2 linked regions of the Drosophila melanogaster genome follow. Changing the gene in region 2 together with the main gene of any one other region gives a genetic interaction. Each region holds a gene or a part of one and is shown on either strand. Other genes may lie near its edges.

Evidence for each region. Genes that interact genetically often act in the same process or in processes that back each other up.
Region 1: of Fs(2)Ket (region 2) and Kap-alpha1, changing one suppresses a phenotype caused by changing the other (phenotypic suppression), as found in Drosophila melanogaster (one study listed by BioGRID).

Annotation. Positions count from the first base shown.
Region 1 is NT_037436.4:19,805,315-19,810,898, reverse strand, and holds Kap-alpha1 (karyopherin alpha1), read right to left. Parts: upstream 3,668-5,584; 5' UTR 3,580-3,667; intron 2,987-3,579; 5' UTR 2,963-2,986; coding exon 2,762-2,962; intron 2,700-2,761; coding exon 2,215-2,699; intron 2,156-2,214; coding exon 1,892-2,155; intron 1,825-1,891; coding exon 1,325-1,824; intron 1,261-1,324; coding exon 1,079-1,260; 3' UTR 501-1,078; downstream 1-500. Other genes in the region: Cyp305a1 (cytochrome P450 305a1), read left to right, coding at 1-347; CG14104 (uncharacterized protein), read left to right, coding at 3,753-3,959; Ccdc58 (Coiled-coil domain-containing 58), read right to left, coding at 4,109-4,213, 4,267-4,389, 4,447-4,593, 4,662-4,697; CG34116 (uncharacterized protein), read left to right, coding at 4,896-5,531.
Region 2 is NT_033779.5:20,732,974-20,737,944, reverse strand, and holds the start of Fs(2)Ket (female sterile (2) ketel), read right to left. Parts: upstream 3,035-4,971; 5' UTR 2,855-3,034; exon of another isoform or gene 2,776-2,854; intron 2,693-2,775; 5' UTR 2,573-2,692; coding exon 2,515-2,572; intron 1,843-2,514; coding exon 1,601-1,842; intron 1,528-1,600; coding exon 499-1,527; intron 431-498; coding exon 1-430. Other genes in the region: TM9SF2 (transmembrane 9 superfamily protein member 2), read left to right, coding at 3,882-4,019, 4,929-4,971.

The sequences.
Region 1 (5,584 bases), on a different chromosome or scaffold from region 2:
AGCTGGGTGGCTACGACATTCCGAAAAATGCCACAATTCTGATTAGCCTACGTTCAGTGCATCTCGATAAGGAGCACTGGAAGGATCCGCTGGAGTTCCGCCCAGAGAGGTTCATCGATTCGGCTGGCAAGTGCTTCAAGGACGAGTACTTCATGCCCTTCGGCATGGGCAGACGCCGTTGTCTGGGCGATGCCCTCGCCCGTGCCTGCATCTTCTCGTTTCTAGTGCGGATCGTGCAGCATTTTAGCGTTGTCCTGCCGGCGGGAGAGTCTCCATCAATGGTGCTTCTGCCTGGGATTACGCTTACTCCAAAACCATACAAGGTGCAGTTCGTCAAGCGCACCTAAGTTCGTGACTGGAGTCGATGGTGTCGGTATTATAGGTCAAGAGATATGGTGCTGAATCCACTAGGATATTTCCAAGGATTCCGAAAATTATTTACACATGAGGATATTATAAGCTTAAAGATTCAATAAAAACTTATGCCAATCTGCATAGCTGTGGTCTAGATGTTGTTTATTGATGTCCTCTAAATTAAATTACAATGCTTTATAATTTAAACAAATTTACATTCGGCGATTCGCATAACAAAATGATCAAATGAATCAGAATGTATAACAACACCATGTGAGGATCTCATCGTACTTGGGCTGGAAAATATATATATAAAATGGAAAATATTTACAGACTCAATTTGAGGAAAGCAAAAACATATACAATGGGTTCTGTATAACATATTAAATTAGTACAATCGAACTAAATGAAAGCAATCTCGTCATGCCTGGTCCTGGACCACTTCGAAAATTATAGAACTAAACGCTGATACAATAAGCAGGTGAGTGATTGTAACAAAGAAACGAGCCGACCGAACGACCATCTTTCCTTAAATGCTAGTAGTGACTGCACTTGGGCAAGGCAGACGCCTTCTCATGCGGTCTATTTTTCATGTCCGTGCTCTGGCCGCCTTCATTTAAATCCCGGCGGCAAGGCTTCGCTTCCTGTTGCATATGCTTCTGTGTGTTTAGGACTTGAGGGATTCGTATTTGAATAGTTAAACGATGTCCTGCGCGGTAGGGTGCTAAAAGTTAAATCCGGTGCTGGGCATGTTGTCCGGATCGAACTCAAACTGTTGCGTGCCTGCCACGGGAGCCACCCGGCTATCCTCCTCTTCGTTGCCGAAGTACTGTTCGATAATGTAAAATGATTTGTGGTAGATGTCGCGGTTTTCATGCGCCTGCAGATACTCTATTTTGTCCAAACCTATATAATATTAACAGAATCGATATTTAAATGGAAATTTGAAAGTAAAAATAAATAGCGTTACCTCCGCATTCCTCGATGGTAATAGCATAGGGATTTGGTCGCGTCTGGAACTTTTCACCTGCCTTCAAAATGTTTTCAAGTGCATTTAGCGCCACTTGGACGATGTCCGAGTCGACGACGGTGAGAAAATCGCACATGGGCGGCACACAGCCAACCTGCACCAGGTAGTGGATCTGTTCGTGCGTACCGCTGCTGGTTGCGTTGGTAATGGCCCATGCGGCCTCCTTGCGAGTCTTAAATTCGGCCGTCTGCATGATAACCATCAGCTGCGGGAATATGTTGGCATTGATTAAGGCCTGGATCTGCTCACGATTGCCGGCTGCAATATTTGAGATTGTCCAGCACGACTCCTTCTTGATTGTTTCCGCCGTCGAATGCAGCAGGTGGCTAATGCAGGTCAAAGCGTTGTACCCCAATATCACCTGGGTCTGCTGATCGTCGCCTGTCACAATATTGCCCACGGCCCTCAGAGCAGCTGTGCTCACGTTCTGCTGAGGATGTCTGCCAGGATAGGTCAACAAATCATAAGTGTAATTTTAATTTGTAATGGCGCAGCAGGACTACTTACAATAGCAGCTCAACCAGGCGACGGCAAACACCCGCATCAATTACAGCCTGGATTTTATCATTGGGACCATCTGACAGGTAGCCTATGGCCCAGCAAGTATCGCTTAGTACATCCGCATCAGTGTACTTCAGCAACCGTGCCAGTATTGGTAGACCATGGCTAATTTTGGCAAAGTCTGCGGGAGGGCTTTTGCCGCGGCACAAGTTTGAAAGTGTCCACACCGCATTCCGTATCATGGTAATGCGATCCGAGTTGCTCAATACACTGCAAGAAGTCACACCTACTTTGGCGCAATCTTATCAATATAATTATTTATAACTTACTGCAGGAGAGGCTCTAGAATGCCGGAGCCGAGCAAATGGTCTCGACACATGGGTGAGTCACCGGCTATGTTGCCTAGGGCCCACACGGCCTGTTCCTGAACATCATCATGGGGACTGGAGAGCAAATCAATGAAGATAGGCACTGCCCCGGCCTCGATAACCACCTTGGTCTGTTGCGAGGTGCCCGATGCGATGTTCGTTAGCGTCCAGGCGGCCTCGAACTGCAGCGTGGCATTTGCGCTATTTCGCAAAAAGGTGACAAACTGTGGCACTATCCCCTTCTGGATGACTTCCTCAATGGGAGGATTGGGATCGCGGGACAGCAGTTTGCGGAACTTTTGAGTCGCCTCAAGCTGTTCGTTTTCACGTCCACTGAAGAGCATTTGAATCATTTCCTCGTTGATTACGGATGGCTGTGCCCCGCTTCCAGCAGCTTCCTCGTTTTGACCGCCAGTGCTGCTGTCAGCCATGTGCATGTCGGCAGCCTGCATTGGAATGGAGAGATAGTTAAGACTATGCTATCAGGCCAAACTTGATCAAAATATACCTGCTGTTCGTTATCGGTGTTGCTCTCCACTCCGGCTGATGTTGAGGATGTAGCCGGCTCAAGAACCACATTGCGTCGCTTAAAGAGCTGCTGTTCGCGTTTGTTTTTTCGCAACTGGATGCCCACCTCCTCGCGACGACGACGCATCTCTGTGGAGTCCAAGGCGGCATTTTTATAACGCTGTTTGTGGCTGGCAGACATTTCGTCGTCTTGGCAATTCAAAAGCTTGAAATAGTTAAAAAAAATATTTCTTTGAGAACAGAATAATTTAAGTCGTAAAGACAGGTTTCAGATAAAAAGTGAGTGCGACTTGATTTTCGCCGCTACTGTGATCAAATGCTAAACGAAAGTGCAAATAATCTAGAAAATATAGGTAGAGGTCGTCGTGGAATGCGAACTAGTTGAATTGAACGTTTATAATCATCACTAGGTGTTCCCCAATGTTCTCATCCACTCCCACCAGGATTATTACGCCCTGTAACCACTGAACATTCGCTTAGCGCCTGCTCTAGGCTAATTTTACATTTCCGGAAACATAAAGATTACGTTGTCAGGCGAATAATTTACATATAATAGGTTCACATTTAATGAACTATTCAGTTTTCCTGGCAAAATGCACAATCACAACACTTTCACATTTCATTGTACGTGTATGTACATATGTGCACACACGGCTGCTTTGCGTTTGTGCGTATAGGTGCGGGCTTAGGTCAGCCAGCATGAGCCATTCGCTGGTCTCCGGTTACGCCCTTCTTTGAGCCACCACAACTCCTGGTTAGAAGAGGCGCCTTCAGATACGTAATTAGAACACAATTTACCTGTTCCGGAGAATCCTTTTCTCGTCTTAATCATGCAAGGGGACGGGAGATTTTACACGTTGTGAGGAACGGGGATGCCGGACTGTCAAAATGCAATGCACACAGCTGACGCGCTATCGATAGCGATATCAACCGATAGCAGTAATTCCAATCCAATTGCATTTAATTTAAACATGAAAGAAAATAAGAAAAAGTCGCGCAAAACGGCCAATAAGACAAATGAAACGTCAGAGGGTCAGAAAAAGAAGATCATTGAACTGCTGCACGAGTACAACGACCTAAAGGATGCCACCCAGCGCGTCCTGGAAGCCTTGGCCAACCTAAAATGCGTACCCGTCGGATCGGTTTACGCTACATACAACCTGCCCCGCGACGAATAAAGTTTGTGCTTTTTAGACTGTTATATTTATGTACTTGTTGTAAACAACTTGTAATACAACGGAGTGCATGTAAATGCCTTCTGGCTTGGCAGTTCCATGAGACTTCTGCTAATAAATCCACCTAAAACTAGTCATTGCATTTGTTCCACCTATTGGCCAGCATGAAAATAGGACCGGCATCGTTCATTGAAGGTCTTGTAGGAACGATCTTTAATGATGTCCTCGACATTGAGCTCGGCCTGGAGAACCCGCAGCTGGAAAGGATCATAGGCATCAGTTAAGAGTAAGACTTAGGTATTTCGGTTACCTTGCGCTGCTCCGCCCTAAACTGGTTATCCGTATCCACATCATCCGGCTGGGTCTCCCGCTTTTCCCTTAGCTTCTTCAGATTACTAGCCGAAATTGTTATGCAACTGCGTATGCTTTCTTGCTGCAAGGAGAAGCTATCTGTCAAGATCCCCGTGTGTTGTACTTAATCAGGATTTACCCTGGCCAAGTGTGACTCCTGGAGCTTCGCGTACAGATCGCGACAGGTGCTTTCACTGTTCACTTGACCCTTAAACGACTCCGTTGGCAGGGCATTTAGTGCATATATAATCTTGTCGTCCACATCTCGCATCTTCTTCAGTGCCTCCTGTTTGGAAACTTAAAGCCATTTAGTATGCCGGCTACTAACCCAAACAACAATATTCCAACCCCCACCTGGAAGCCGAGAAAGTCTAAGCACAATGCCGCCATTTAAACCAGGTAGGAAAACAAGAAAACACTTTAAAAAATAATAAAAACAAAATGATATATGTAAAATTGCCGGCGCAATGTGCCTCTAATCGGGGTTGCCACCTGGGCGGTGCAATCGATTAGCACGATTATGGACAATCGATGTGGATGATAAAGACTAGTTGAACAAAACAAAACAAAATAGCAAAATAATTCAAGATGCCGCTAAAATTCGATGATATTCACGAGAAAATTGAAACCGGCGTCTACCAATTGGCTGTTAATGACAAAAGCACACGGAGCACTGTGTGGCGGGTGTATCGCAAGATCAAGAAGGACGATGGTAGCTTTCTGGAGCACGTACTGTTCTGCATCGGCTGCAGGAGCATTATGTCCTTCACCCACAAATCCACAACGAACCTGAGGCGTCACCGGTGTCACCTGCAGTATCTCAAGAAACAGGCATTCTGCTGCTACAATTCCAAGGGCGAATCCAACGACAGAAAGGAGGAGACGGACCAGGAGCATCATGAGGAACATGATGACCAACAATCCATGTCGGATGAGTTGGAAACAAAACCCTCTCCTGCCGATGTTGCCGCCTTTGTGGGGGAAGCGGTCAGCGGCGGAGATTCCACTGCAGCTTCAGCCCGTATTCCGGACATTCCCGAGATCGCGCTACCACTCGACGCAAGTGGGGTCGAGGAGTCCAATGTTTATGCACAGACCTGGTCCCTTGAGTACCGCAAACTCAGCGAGGACCAAAAATTCTATGCCAAAAAAGCTATAGACGAAATCTTCGTATTGGGCAGGCTACGACGCCTTACTCTGAATACGGTTCCAACGGCGGAGTAGAATAGTTAATCAGGATTAAGTAGGACTTAATTTAAGCTAATATACATACTCTG
Region 2 (4,971 bases):
ATTGTAGATCGTTGAACTGATGACGATCGCTGTGATTGTTAATCTGCGTTTCCATCTGCATCACCTGGTTCAAGCGCTCCAAAATCACCAGCGTGGTGCGCTGGACCACCAAGTAGCAATCCAAGGGAGAGTTCTTGATCATATCCATAAGTGCCTGATAAGCAGCACATCGCAAATTGGCTTGAGCTCCGTCCGATCGATCAGTGGTCTCCAGCAACTGGGTAATGATGTACTCAAAGTACGGGGACAGGGCGTACGTCTCCGGAGTCTCTCCGTCGTTGGTGACCGCTGCCTCCCAAGCTGCATCGGAAAGTCCAATGAAGGCCCAACACACGTTGGCTGCTACACGCGGCTCTGACTTTAGGCTCTTCACGAAGCACTCCAAAAGCGTTTGAAGATATGTCTCGTTGATAGCCGCCTCGGGAATTATCTGTCAGGAAAAAGCAGTAGAAGGTTAGTATGACAATATGAATCACCTTAAAAATCACCACTACGCACATCGCAAATACGTCCGAAGGTCCAGGCGATGGTATCGCGCACGATAACGCTGGAGTCGTACATCAGTCGAATGAGCGTGGGCATGGCTTGCTCCACGAGCGGCTTTAAGGTATTGGTCTCCAATCCATTCAGCACGGAGCCGAAAGTCATTACCGCTGCGTCGCGGAATCGCCAATTAGGTGACTCGATGTTCTCCTTGATGAAGGGAAGCACATGTGGCACGATCTCGTCCTCGCAACATGTGGCCAGCACCATGAGGCAAACGGAGGCGGCCTTCGCCGGGCTCCAGGTGTCCTCGTCATCGCACTCGTCCTGCTTGGTTAATTTCTCGACGAGCACAGGCGTCAGGAACTGCAGAGCACCTCGAGCATAGTGCTTGGACACTCTCTGCGGAGCGCGGCCCTGATCAGTGGCCTCCTGGCTTTCGATGGCCAGATCTATCTCCTCATCGCAGACGTTCGACCAGAACTCTATGCCCTGCAGCGCTACAGCATCGTTATCAGACTTCATGGCCGCCAAAGTAATAGGGAAAAGAGCCTGTGCCATGTAGGGCTCCATGTACTGGTAATAAAGGGTCATAATCTTCACCAGGCACTGCAGAGCGGCAACGCAGATTTGCGAGTCCTGGCACTGAGTGGCCTCGCACACCACCTCCATGATGAAGTTGCGCTCCATGTCTTTCTCAAAGTTCGATTTGGTGAACTCCAACGAGTTGTGAAGGGCCGTGGTGGCCGCCAAGCGTACATGATTGCTCGGCTCTACCTTTCTCATGCCGTGAATAATAGCAGTCAGCACATCGTTCGACTGGTTCTCCATGACGCCGAAACGAATGTCCTGGCAAATGTAGCCAATGGCCTCCAGCGCCGACTCGCGATGCATCTCGCTGGATCCTTCGCTGACCACCTTGTTCACCAGTGTCTGGATGAGCATGGGCCAGCGGTTTATCGGCAGCTCAATCACGGCCACATAGGCCACGCACTGGGCGGCGCAGGAGGGTCGGGTGTTCTCGGTACCCAAAGCAGCCAGGATCTGAAAGTAAGTCGCAGTTATTCAGTGCCAATTGTACAAGTCATATGTTTCAACATCAGCGTATGTAACTTACGTTATTCTTGATCAACTCGCGGATCTCGCTGGGAAACTGATGCCAGCGATCCTGGTACTGTTGGCTGACCTTCTCGTCCTTGCTGGTCAGGTGGTTCTTCAGCTGGAGACCGGCTGCCATTCGCGCCACCGCACTGTTGGCCGTGTTCACCAGTATCTCTGACAGCGCCTTGAGAAACTCGGGCAGGTTGCTGGCCGCCGCCTGCTCCAGAAAGTTCTTCGCCGATAGCAGCTCATTTTTGTCTGAAAATGCGTCATTTGGTTGGTTAGACATTTTTAATTTCCAATTATGTCAACGAAAGATTTTATTTGTGGGCCTACACACGCCCACCATTTTGGGTCGGCTTAAAGCTTTGGTATCAGGCCATTGAATTTTACAACAATTGACTTTTGGGAATGTGAAGGCAAGATAGGAACTTTTAGGCAAGGCGTATATAGTGAGAATATTGTTTAATAAGAATACAATAGATGGTGAAAGAAGTGTGTGCATATGAAGAGCTAAGCAGTAAGGTCTAGTAATGAATTGTAGCGGTGGAGCATAAAATCTTCAGGCAAGGGGCAAGTTTGCAGGCATTCCTTATCAGCAACCGGAAGAACTGGCCGCCAAGCATACGGTGGTGACTCCGAAGCGACGCCTCATCGATTCCTAGAGTTAGTGAGGTTATGTCGCAGGCGGTTCGTACATCCTTAATTGTAGGAGCGCAAGCATTGCGAATACATACAGACGCGCCGCCAAGTTTCCCTTGGAGTATGTACGTGGATGCACATGTGTGCGGAGGCCCCTAGCAACCAAACATATGCGAGCGCCTATTGCAACCCTGCGCAACATATAACGCGCGTCCCTCCCGCCAATCGAAGAAAAATCCATATTTTTCGGATCTATACACACACGTTTGTAGCAGTGGGGAAACTCACCTGGCGACACCGTCTTTTCCAAAATGGCAATCAATTGCATGGCGATATCGGAAGTCATGTCTTCGCTCTTTTCCTCTCTATATGATTTCTACTTCACTTTCCGTTTCTTTCTGCAGCTCGTGCGTCTGTGTGGGTGATGGAATTTTTGCGTAATTACTAGACAACACTAGTCTGTCGGCTGCAAATGGTGGAGACAAAAGAGTTAAAGTTATTGGGCTGCTCCGCTGAAGCTGGCGATTTTATTTCGACAGGTTGCAACACCTTGATTGTCAAAAGAATTGATTTTTTCGCACACACGCACACAACAAGCGCGTTCAGTAGAACTCTTCATTCTACTCACATTGTTGTTTGGTTATTTTTCGGGAACGGTAAAAAAGCGCGGGATTCCTAACGGCGATTTTCTTAGTTATTATTATAAGCCTATTTAATGGTGGCAGAACCTTTATCTGCTCTTCGGGAAGTGCAGGCAATATATTTCTTGTGTCTCCGATTTGAAATAGAGCTGAAACGAATGTCGATTTTTATTTGATAGCACTGAGTTTCGATGAAAAAGGCGACACCTATTCGATTGCTTTATTCGAACTATCGATAATTTTTAAATCTAATAACGTATTAATTAAATATTCTTAAATGCGTAGGAAATGTGCAACCATTTGACAAAATATATTATTAGTCAGGAACGATAAGACCAAAATACTTACTACTTGTATTAAAACGCGTTTGCCTCCCCAAAAATCAATCGTTAAATTTGAATGATTGTGCTTATCGAAAATTTTCATATTCAAAGATAAGCACGGAAGCAAAACCTCGAACGAACTAAATAATCGAATACTTTGACTTAAGAGTCGTAGGTAAAAAACTAACAAATGAACAAAATTTGATTACTATATTAAGAAACAGTGGATAAAAATAGTAATATCTTAGAAGTATCACACGTATACGTGTGTATATTGGTTGCATTCGCTTACTGAACAGGGGAATTAATTAATTTAAATATAAAAGTTTATTAAGTCTACCAAATTTCGTTTTGCACGTAATAATAATAAGAGCTAAAGGTTTTCGCGGTAATATTTAGCTTTGCAAATGCTGGTAGTTTTTTTGTCAGCCAGTTGGCAGCCCTCTCAGCTGTACTAGGTGGCAACGCTGCTACAGTGCTGACGTTCGGCAAAAAAGAGGAAACGTAGTAAAAACACTCGAAAAACTCCGTATATTCCGATAAATATCCAGATAGTACGGTTTGTGCGTGGCCCGCCGATCCGGAAAGTGTGGCAGAGAATCGCGGACACGGCCACGTTGTGATTACAACCCGTACAAGTAAAGGAAGAAGGTCTGCTACTCCTGCCGTTCGTTGGTTACCCCAATTCGAGATGATCCTGCTATCCGGACTTCTGCCGCTCCTGGGCGTCGTTCTCTTGCACCTTGCGACCCCGACACAGGCCTTCTATCTGCCCGGACTGGCACCGGTCAATTTCTGCAAGAAAACCGACGTCTCATCCACATGCAAGGTAGGTGTATACGTATGTGCAGAAGTGCAGATGTACATATGTACGTAGATAGTGGGTGTGTTTGCCCCACGCCCGCCACAATTAGCAAAGGCACTGGAACTAGTTATGTACATTGGTTCTATATTCCTCTAATGGTGGTCACAGGCGGAAGCACTGATAAGCGCAGTAACTAGTTATATGTGGGGTCCATATGTGGCCCTCTATCTCAACTTCTGCTGACGTTGCCTACGCCAGCTCTCTTTCCTAGCGACAGCTAGATGGGAGTTCTAATGTTGGTTCAGCTGGCTCGCGAATGCGATTTCGGGGGCTCCCGACCTTAAGAATCTTAACATAGTGGCGGCTAACCAATAATTGAACCAGGGAACGCGGTTAGCTTGTCATGCTTCCTTGCATTATGTTTGGGTTATTTTCTTTTTAGTAATAATAGTATAACACAATAACAATATAAATTCAGGACAAAGTATAATTTTTAGTTTGATATCCCAAATAGATGGGGTTAGCCCTTTTAAAAGATGACCTAACTATTGGATGATAAAGCGTGAGCTATTGGTTTTGTTTGCTTCATCTTATCTTTAAACAAATCTAAACAACTTTTTAATATACCCGTAGGTCAAGAAATCCTAATCGGTTTATACGCCCTTAAATTAGACGTTGCCCAATGATAAGAATTAATTAAGGTGTTTCACATTCAATTGTTTCTAACAATCTAAGAGAGCTTTTTGATAAGATAAATTTCTAAGAACCCAAAGTAAAAGCAAATTACGGGGTCAAATTATCGAACGCATTTGCAAACTTTTGGAATTTTTACCAAACTTTAATAATTATTTCCACGATAAGATTAAAATACACTAGTATTATCAACAGTTGTCAATCCAATTGATTGATCTAATTCCTGATTATCTTCTTCAGTCGGAAATCTTGTTGTACGTCAACCGCTTAAACACTGAGGAAT